Linked DNA regions of Tribolium castaneum. The protein of the gene in region 1 interacts with the protein of each later gene in a biochemical or structural test. Links are inferred from orthologs where the notes say so. Each region holds a gene or a part of one and is shown in the gene's direction. Other genes may lie near its edges. The genes, in order: wts and mats.

What was found.
Region 2: of the proteins of wts (region 1) and mats, one has a biochemical effect on the other in vitro, tested with the Drosophila melanogaster proteins (2 studies listed by BioGRID). The link is inferred for Tribolium castaneum from reciprocal best matches to the Drosophila melanogaster genes wts and mats.

What each region holds. Positions count from the first base shown.
Region 1 is NC_087397.1:10,568,181-10,572,788, reverse strand, and holds the start of wts (serine/threonine-protein kinase Warts), read left to right. Parts: upstream 1-1,619; 5' UTR 1,620-1,931; intron 1,932-4,059; 5' UTR 4,060-4,217; coding exon 4,218-4,608. Other genes in the region: protein NDUFAF4 homolog, read right to left, coding at 160-317, 365-587, 636-724, 773-917. UniProt on the Drosophila melanogaster protein: Negative regulator of Yorkie (Yki) in the Hippo/SWH (Sav/Wts/Hpo) signaling pathway that plays a pivotal role in organ size control and tumor suppression by restricting proliferation and promoting apoptosis.
Region 2 is NC_087400.1:149,173-152,710, reverse strand, and holds mats (MOB kinase activator 1B), read left to right. Parts: upstream 1-1,352; 5' UTR 1,353-1,498; coding exon 1,499-1,512; intron 1,513-1,561; coding exon 1,562-2,171; intron 2,172-2,220; coding exon 2,221-2,301; 3' UTR 2,302-2,766; downstream 2,767-3,538. Other genes in the region: tRNA (32-2'-O)-methyltransferase regulator THADA, read right to left, coding at 45-274, 320-539, 584-906, 956-1,078; heterogeneous nuclear ribonucleoprotein H, read right to left, coding at 3,186-3,407, 3,463-3,538. UniProt on the Drosophila melanogaster protein: Coactivator of Warts (Wts) kinase in the Hippo/SWH (Sav/Wts/Hpo)signaling pathway, a signaling pathway that plays a pivotal role in organ size control and tumor suppression by restricting proliferation and promoting apoptosis.

The sequences.
Region 1 (4,608 bases):
ATTTGATAAAAAATGTTTCATCCCCAATTCCGATGGGTGAAGGAGGACCCTATACGGAACAATTTGGAGATGGATAAAGTAGCGTAACTACTTTTAAGTTTTTTATTTTTTTTTGCTATAAATAAACTATTTAAATTGAACTAAATTTCAGTTACATTGTCAGGTATCCCCCTTGTCTTCTTTCCCAGGTAACAGTTGTTTTCTAAGTTTTGGCATGACTCTAATTCTGGGTACACTAGGCCCAGCAAACTTGGCTTTAACTCTTCTTTGTTCAGGAATATAGACTTCAAAAACTTTATAATATTTTAAAACATTTTCTGCAACAGATCATTGGCTATATTGGCTTAAAACAATGGAAAATTACTTGTTATTTCTTCGGGTAATTTATACTCCTTAGAAATAGCTTCAACACTATGTAGTCTACGATCGTGTTGGTGGTCTGTCACAAACTTAAGGACTTGTTTTAGTGAGGCCCTCCCTTCTGGAATTTTTTCAGGTTCTTTAACCCCATATTCAAAATCCTCAACTTGTTGCCTGTTAAGAGGAAGAGGTCTGTTGGGGTTTATTTTCTGTTCTTGCACCGGATTCTAAAAAAATATTTGCAAATTTGACGTTTTTTTTTTTAATTTACTTACAGGGTCATGTGAGGTCACATAAACATCTTTTAAGTAGTTATCCAACTGTTGGTGTTTTTTCTGGCCTTCCCTAAATTCTTCAGGATACTCTTCAAGAATATTACATTACTCAAGCCCTTTCGAATAAACAAACTCACCTCTCATTAATCTTTCATAATCTAGTTGATCACTTTTGTGTTTGGGAGCTGGAGTTGGCTTATCTTTGGATATAATTTTGTGTGCTCTACTCTCGATGTTAAAAGTCCGAAAAGGACGACCCATTAAAGACATGACTTTTCCCATTTTCGGCTTAAAAATTGAGTTGAGGTTAGGTGTAACCTCAATTCTAAAACTTCTTGATGTGACAGTTGACGAAAATTGAAGAAGGACCTCACGTATCCAGTTTTAATTATTTAAGGATACTTGTTTATTTCATAAAAATTGTGTTATATCATAATTTTTATTTTTCTATTCCACACATACTCGGTCACATTGCTGAAACAAAGACAGATTGACGGAGAAAGACAAAGATAAAACGCCTATTATGACCTTTTTTTTGATTTTTAAATCTGTAAATATTTTAAATCAGGGGCGTAGAGACTGAAACTATCAAATACCATGCATGTTTATTTTGCATCTGGGCAGATGTTTAAATTATGTAACTTTAGCACAATTTAAGTTAGCATTTTACTTTTCAAATCATTTATATTAGATCTAAAAAAAAGCTCACAAAAGAAATAATAATTTCTAATTTGAACACCTTTGATACGCTTATGGAACAAACGCTATCTCCATTGTCGCAAGCAGCGCGCATAGCTGCCAAATTGAGAAAACGGAGGGAACTAGGCGTCACATTATTTTCAACTAAAAATGGACGAAACAAGGCATTAATAAATACTCAGCTGGAAAAAATGGGATGTTTTATAATTTCCAAGTAATTGTCTGGGTGCAGACACGATTCGTGAGCTAAAGCAATGGCATTTAGTTCTAAATAAATAGTTTTCTAAGGTTGGCAGATTCTGGAATTTGACACTGTGTAAGATGGCTGGTATCTGAATCTTGGTAAATTGTCTTTGTTTTCATTACAGATTTAAGTGCCTTAAAAAGTGATTTAGCTTTAAATAACCGTACAGTTGAATGTAATTAAAAGTTTATTGTGTGGTGCGTGCGACGTAGCGTAGTGTAGAAGCCCTATGATGGAAATAATGTGTTAAGTGTTCATAAATTCCTCCACATAGAATGAGATAGATTGACAATTGACACTTCAAAATCTGTCAGTTCTTGCAGCAGATTCCATTTGTTTTAGAAGAATAAAAGGTAATTGTTGGCTAGGTTGTTTAAATAAATTTATCCTTGATGAGATGAATTGGTGTTAGACAGTAACAGATTAGATGTCACGCACAATGCCAAAGAATGTATGACTGGAATGCCGTGCGAGTGAGACATTTGATTGTAATTTGGCACATAGCTCTACTAGCGCCTGAAGCACTGTATCCCATACACTATGACAGATGCTATGCCTAATCTTTACACCGATTTATTCCCATTTTAGCCTACGCTTTAATCCACACCAAACGCCCCCTGATTTGTCTCAACTAACGCACAAAATTCGCTTCTCTTCCTAATCTCCGCAGCTAATTGTCATAGTTGCAGCTTTTTATGAAAGCAAATCACCAAACTGGACCATAAGAATGTAAATTAATCAATTAAAACATGCCATACAAAGACACAACCACTCCAATTATTCCTCGGAGACTTCTTCATTTAGCAACTAGGAGCGATTTTGGTGTTTATTAAAATAAAAACAATCCAAATGCAAATGTAATTGAGGTCACATTTAGAACATTTTTTCAGTAATAATTATTTGAAAGTGATTTTCACGGGTGCATAAAAAATTGCAATTGTGCACGCTTATTGGTAAGCGACCTTTTTTACCGCTCGTTATTGGTGCTCATTACGTAATGAATTAACAAGAAATTGACATCAATGGTTAAAATCTAGCAGAGTGTAAAATCACGATTTGTGAGAGCTGAATGAATTCATTATTATTATTAAATACCGACTGGCGACTGCATATTTTGTGGTTTATGCGTTTTTTAAATAGTTTTCTAAAAATATTTATATACAGTGTCAGTGTTAATATAATTTTATTTGAGATCAAAAGTTTTACCACAAAGGAAGAATCTCGTTTATCAAAAAATTCCACTAAACTTTTGTCATAACTTGAAGTTTTACGGCTGCAATAATAAAACCGCACACATCCGATTCGAAGCCGAAATTTTTCCACGGCAAAATGGATTATTTAAGAAGTCCAAGGATCAAGAAAAATGTTGATTAATTTATCTGTTTTTTGCTTTCCGTTAGTGCAGATCTTGTAAATCTTTATCGTGTCTCAAAATGATTTATAAAATGTACCGGTTGCATTAAATGAGTAACTCCAAATATCACAGCGCTTTAGAAATTCGTTGGAATTTCAAGCATCTATTCCTCTTGAGTAATTTGGAATTATCAAAACAGGTCACAGTATGAGAGCTCGTTATGGACGTATTAAATTTTCACTCGACGATTTGATAAAATTCGTGTCAAATTATTGATAAAAACGTAACCGTATTTTTTTAGATTGAAATAAAGCGACAATGTCTGTGTTCGCACTTCCCTGTAAAAACGAAAACGTCATTTTCACGTGCATCTTCGAGGATCCACGGCACATTAACAAAGCAGTGAAGCATGATTTATGCGTTCATGAATATTTCCATTCTTCATTGAAGTTTTGCAAAGCTTAATCGTGCGGTTACCTGTTGTTATTTTTTAAATTTAAATTAGGCGAAATTATGCAGAAAGCTACCAAATTTAACAACATTTTATATTTTGCAATGTGCAGAGCGACGTTTCACATCGCACTAGAAATCAACTCATACTCTTATTTTCGGAGTTGGAGATTTTTGCAGAATTCTCCTTGAATTGGAAGGTGTCTAGGGATACAACGCTGAAATCTCTATTTTAAGAAAAATCAGTTTAAAGTTGAGGGTTAACTTGCATAAAAAATTATTTTAAAAAAGTTGTAATTTTATTCTATGTATTTTTTTCACATAAAGAAATAAACATAGTTTTCTGGTTCATTGAGGGTTCATTGTTGTTTTATTAAACACCTTATAAACTTGACTGGATAGTTTGAAAAAAAAAAAGAAATTCATTAAGTCATTAATTTAATTTCCAATTAAATGCGTGATTAACTGATCACGTGACCAAATTGACGCAATTTGGTTGGTCCATTCGCGTTGTTAACTTTTACCAACTAATTAAATTTTAACGTAGCTTTCTGTAAACCGGCCCTTAAATTTTTTTTTATTATTTTTATAAGGGGGTAACTTGTTACAGCGGGGGCAAATGCCTACTCCTTGACTGCTAGTGTTTTTATTTTTGAATATTTTGTTTTTGATTGCAGTCGTGAAGTCGCGAACGATCGAATCCACTGCAAGAATCGTCAGGAGTGCGTCAAAACTCGTCTTCCAATGTAATGCAAAATGTATGAATGGGCGTAATTGTAGTGCATACTCATGTGCGGGGAGCCATGTGAATCGCTAGTGAGTGGCAGGGCCCAGCATGGGCCAACAGCCTCGGCCCCAACTGAACATGAATCCCAGCGCGCCAGCCCGCTCGCCGGGCTACCACCAAAAGGCCATGGAGGAGATCCAGAACTCGCTGCGCCCGTTCGCAAAGAGCGGCGGCGAGGCCGTGGGCTCCAGTGCGGCCAGCACCATTTCGAATTTCTCCGCCACAAGCGGAGTGAGCTCGCTGAGCTCGACGTCCGGCACTAACGGCACCGACAAGGACGTCCTCCAGCTCAGACACACGCTCTCGCAGCTCGTCAACATGGGCTATTCGGAGGAGGCCTCGTTGCGAGCGCTCCAACTCTCCAACTCACGTCTGGACGGCGCCCTCGACTATCTCATGAAACAACAAATCGACTCCGGAAACAAATGCGGTTACACCA
Region 2 (3,538 bases), on another chromosome or scaffold:
GGAAAAAAATAAGTAACTAGGTAACGGACTTTTCGGGGATTTACCTCATCCCTAAATCAATTAAGTTTGTATAAAGTGATTCGTAAAGCGGTTTTTTGGCCACTTTTACGTTCAAAAGGACGTCACGTGGTACAGTGTTTGAAATAGTCAAGTAAAGAATTGCTTTCAAACGACCAGTTTTGAATAAATTCGGAAAATTTTTACTTTGGAGAATCAAACAAAAATCATTTTTTTCGTTATCTATAAACTCCAAAATGGGGTAATTTCGGTGTTTCTATGAACAAAAAATTACAAATTGCTCCCAAAATTGAAAACTTACCAAAAAAATTGTTTCTTTTGCAGGCAAAAGGGTTGAGAAGTACGAAAAAACCACGAAACTGTCCAAAATCGTCTCAAATTTAAATTCGCAATTTTGCAAAATCTCAAAAGTCATAACAACCATTTCAAGGGCATAGTTACTCAATTGTTTCATATTGGCATGTGGTAACGTCACAGCCAACTGTTTCAAAACCATACTCACGTAACAATCGTTACCATGGCTACGACAAACAATAAAAATTTGACTTGATCACAGCCAACTTACGATTGAAGCGCCTCCAGACTGTAGAAATAAAACAAAAACGTCTTTTCTAGAAAATCATCGGGAAAATTTTGAATAAAACACGCAAAAAACTGCACGACTTTCTCGCACAACGTTAAACTGAAAACAAAATTATCGAAATTTTCTCTACATTCATTCATCACACTTGATGCAATGTGTTCGAAAAAACTACTTTGGCCAATTTGGCGCACATTTAACTGCTTGTACATGTATTTGAGCAAATTTTTGCGCCCGTTTGTGTTAATTAACGCTTCGATTATGACGTTTCGGGCGCCAAAGTCCTGATGATGGTGGTAGGTGTCAAGCTGGAAAAAATCGTCAATTTCGCACTGTACACCCTGCATTAATAATTACGATTTCGTCGATCAGTTTTTTATAGAGGGAATCGTCATTGCATGATTTTAGGGCATTCAGAAGGGGGCTGTCGGGGCAAAATTTGTGACTTGTGGTCAATTTCAAATTAAGAATGGGGGCCATAACGAACGACTTGCAGTATTATTTAATGATTTTCCACAAAATATCACATAAAACACGTTAAATGTGTTAACGCATTTTTTTTTAAGTAAGGTTAGGTCAAGTGACAACTTAACGCGGCAAAAAACCCGGTACGAAATTTTGGCGAAAATTACATTTACGTGATAACTGCAGCACAGTTCTTGCGTTCCATTTAATTATAAATTGTTAGCGCTCCGAGTGTTAATTATTACGTTTGTTTGCGCCCAAATTACGCGAAAAATTCAAATGTGGCGCTTGTTTTTGACAATTGCCATTCCAAGGTCACGAAAATTGTACCGATAAGACTTTCATCGTGAATAATTGTTTCTGGTCGATGGATTATGGGTTTATTTCCTGTGATTGTGTCCCATTTTGCCTTTGAGTGAGTTGAGCGCAGTCACGATGAGTTTCCTTTTGTAAGTAGCCCCCCAGTCCCAGTGCGCCCCTTTACCAGCCCCCTTGTAGCGGCAGCCGTTCGTCAAAGACGTTCAAGCCCAAGAAAAACATCCCTGAAGGCACCCATCAGTACGAGCTGATGAAACACGCTGCTGCCACTTTAGGTTCTGGTAATTTGCGTTTAGCGGTGATGCTCCCCGAGGGCGAAGACCTAAACGAGTGGGTGGCCGTCAACAGTATGTACCCCTTTTGTATGCACCCCAAAATACAGCCCTCTTGTTCCACAGCCGTTGATTTCTTTAACCAAATCAATATGTTGTACGGGACCATAACAGAGTTTTGCACTGAAGAGAGTTGTCCCATAATGTCAGCGGGCCCCAAATATGAGTACCATTGGGCCGATGGGCACACTGTTAAGAAACCCATCAAGTGCTCTGCGCCCAAATACATCGATTATCTCATGACATGGGTGCAGGACCAACTTGATGATGAGACACTTTTTCCCTCGAAAATCGGAGTTCCATTTCCGAAAAATTTCCTCTCGATTGCTAAGACTATCCTTAAGAGACTTTTCCGAGTTTATGCACACATTTACCATCAACATTTTAGTCAAGTGGTGCAATTAGGGGAAGAGGCACATCTTAATACCTCTTTCAAACATTTTATTTTCTTCGTGCAGGTGAGGAGAAAATTTGGGGATTTCCACAATTTTTCTGTGCTTTTGACAGGAATTTAGTTTAATTGAACGACGAGAACAAGCCCCCCTTCAAGAATTGATCGATAAATTGACAGCAAAGGAAGCACGATGAAAATGAGGGAAGTGCCACTGGAACAGGGTTAGGGGGCACTATCTACAGGGTGTTCCGTCTAAACCCCACATTAGAAGTTTTAGTAGTTCGAATAATGATAGTCATCTGAAAATTTGTATACAACCATATCTCTTGGGTTCATTGAGCAAAATTCAACGGATTATGGCTGAGTACCAACTTTCAAATAAACATCTTTGTTAGAACTTTCAATACTACTAACGTGGGGATTAGACGGAACACCCGGTATACTTAAAACAAGATAACAACTTATTTATTGCACTTAACCACGTAGGAAACGACAATTTACTACTACTGAGTGTTGTTTTATCAATGTTTGTTAATTAAGCTTCATTTTTTTCCTATATTATTATTTATTATATTTTTGTTCCTGTTTTTTTCGAGCCTATGATTAGGTTTTTTTTGTATTTTATTGACCACAATAAATTGCGCTTTTATTCGATTTCACATCTAGTCGCTTGCTTGAACGAAATTTCTAACCATGTATATTATAAAACTATTTTTAGAATCAATATACACGTTCATAGATGTTCAAGTGTTACTTTTGTACCGCAAACCTCACAGTTGGCTAATAATACAGATTCTTGTAATTAGTTTAGGGAGGATAATAATACTAGGAAAATTACTCGAATTAATAATTTATTTACTAAAAATTAATTCATTTATAAAACTGCTTAATTACAATTAGTAATGGAGGGTAAATTGGATTTCTCATCCGAGTAACCTCTGAAACAGAAACAAACCAAACCTTGGCCGGCGTTTTGTACGTCATTTGAACACAACAATACAAAAATAAGAATCCAAATTTAAGTAAAAAAATATTCCTAGATAGATAAATACTTTCAAAGTCTTGTTTTTTTTTTAAACTAAACCCTTCTCCGTCCGGTAACGTAACCGGAATTTCCATTATCAGCCCCCGCCGAATTTAAAAACAACTCAATATATCTATGCTGCATGTGCCCCTTGTCTTTACTCATTGCCCTCATGGCGTCTTCATGTGAGGCAAATTCAACATCTGCCTCACCGGAAGCCCTTCCGTTGTGATCTTGCAACAGTTTAACATTAGTCGGAACAATCGGTTTGAAAAACTACAATCAATAAATTACAAAAAAAAAAATTAAAGTGAGATTATGTGTAACCCACGTCGGTAATATCGGCCGCTGTGGCTTTAAACGGCAGCCCCCTCATATGCACACAATGCATAGTTCTGTCGCCCGTT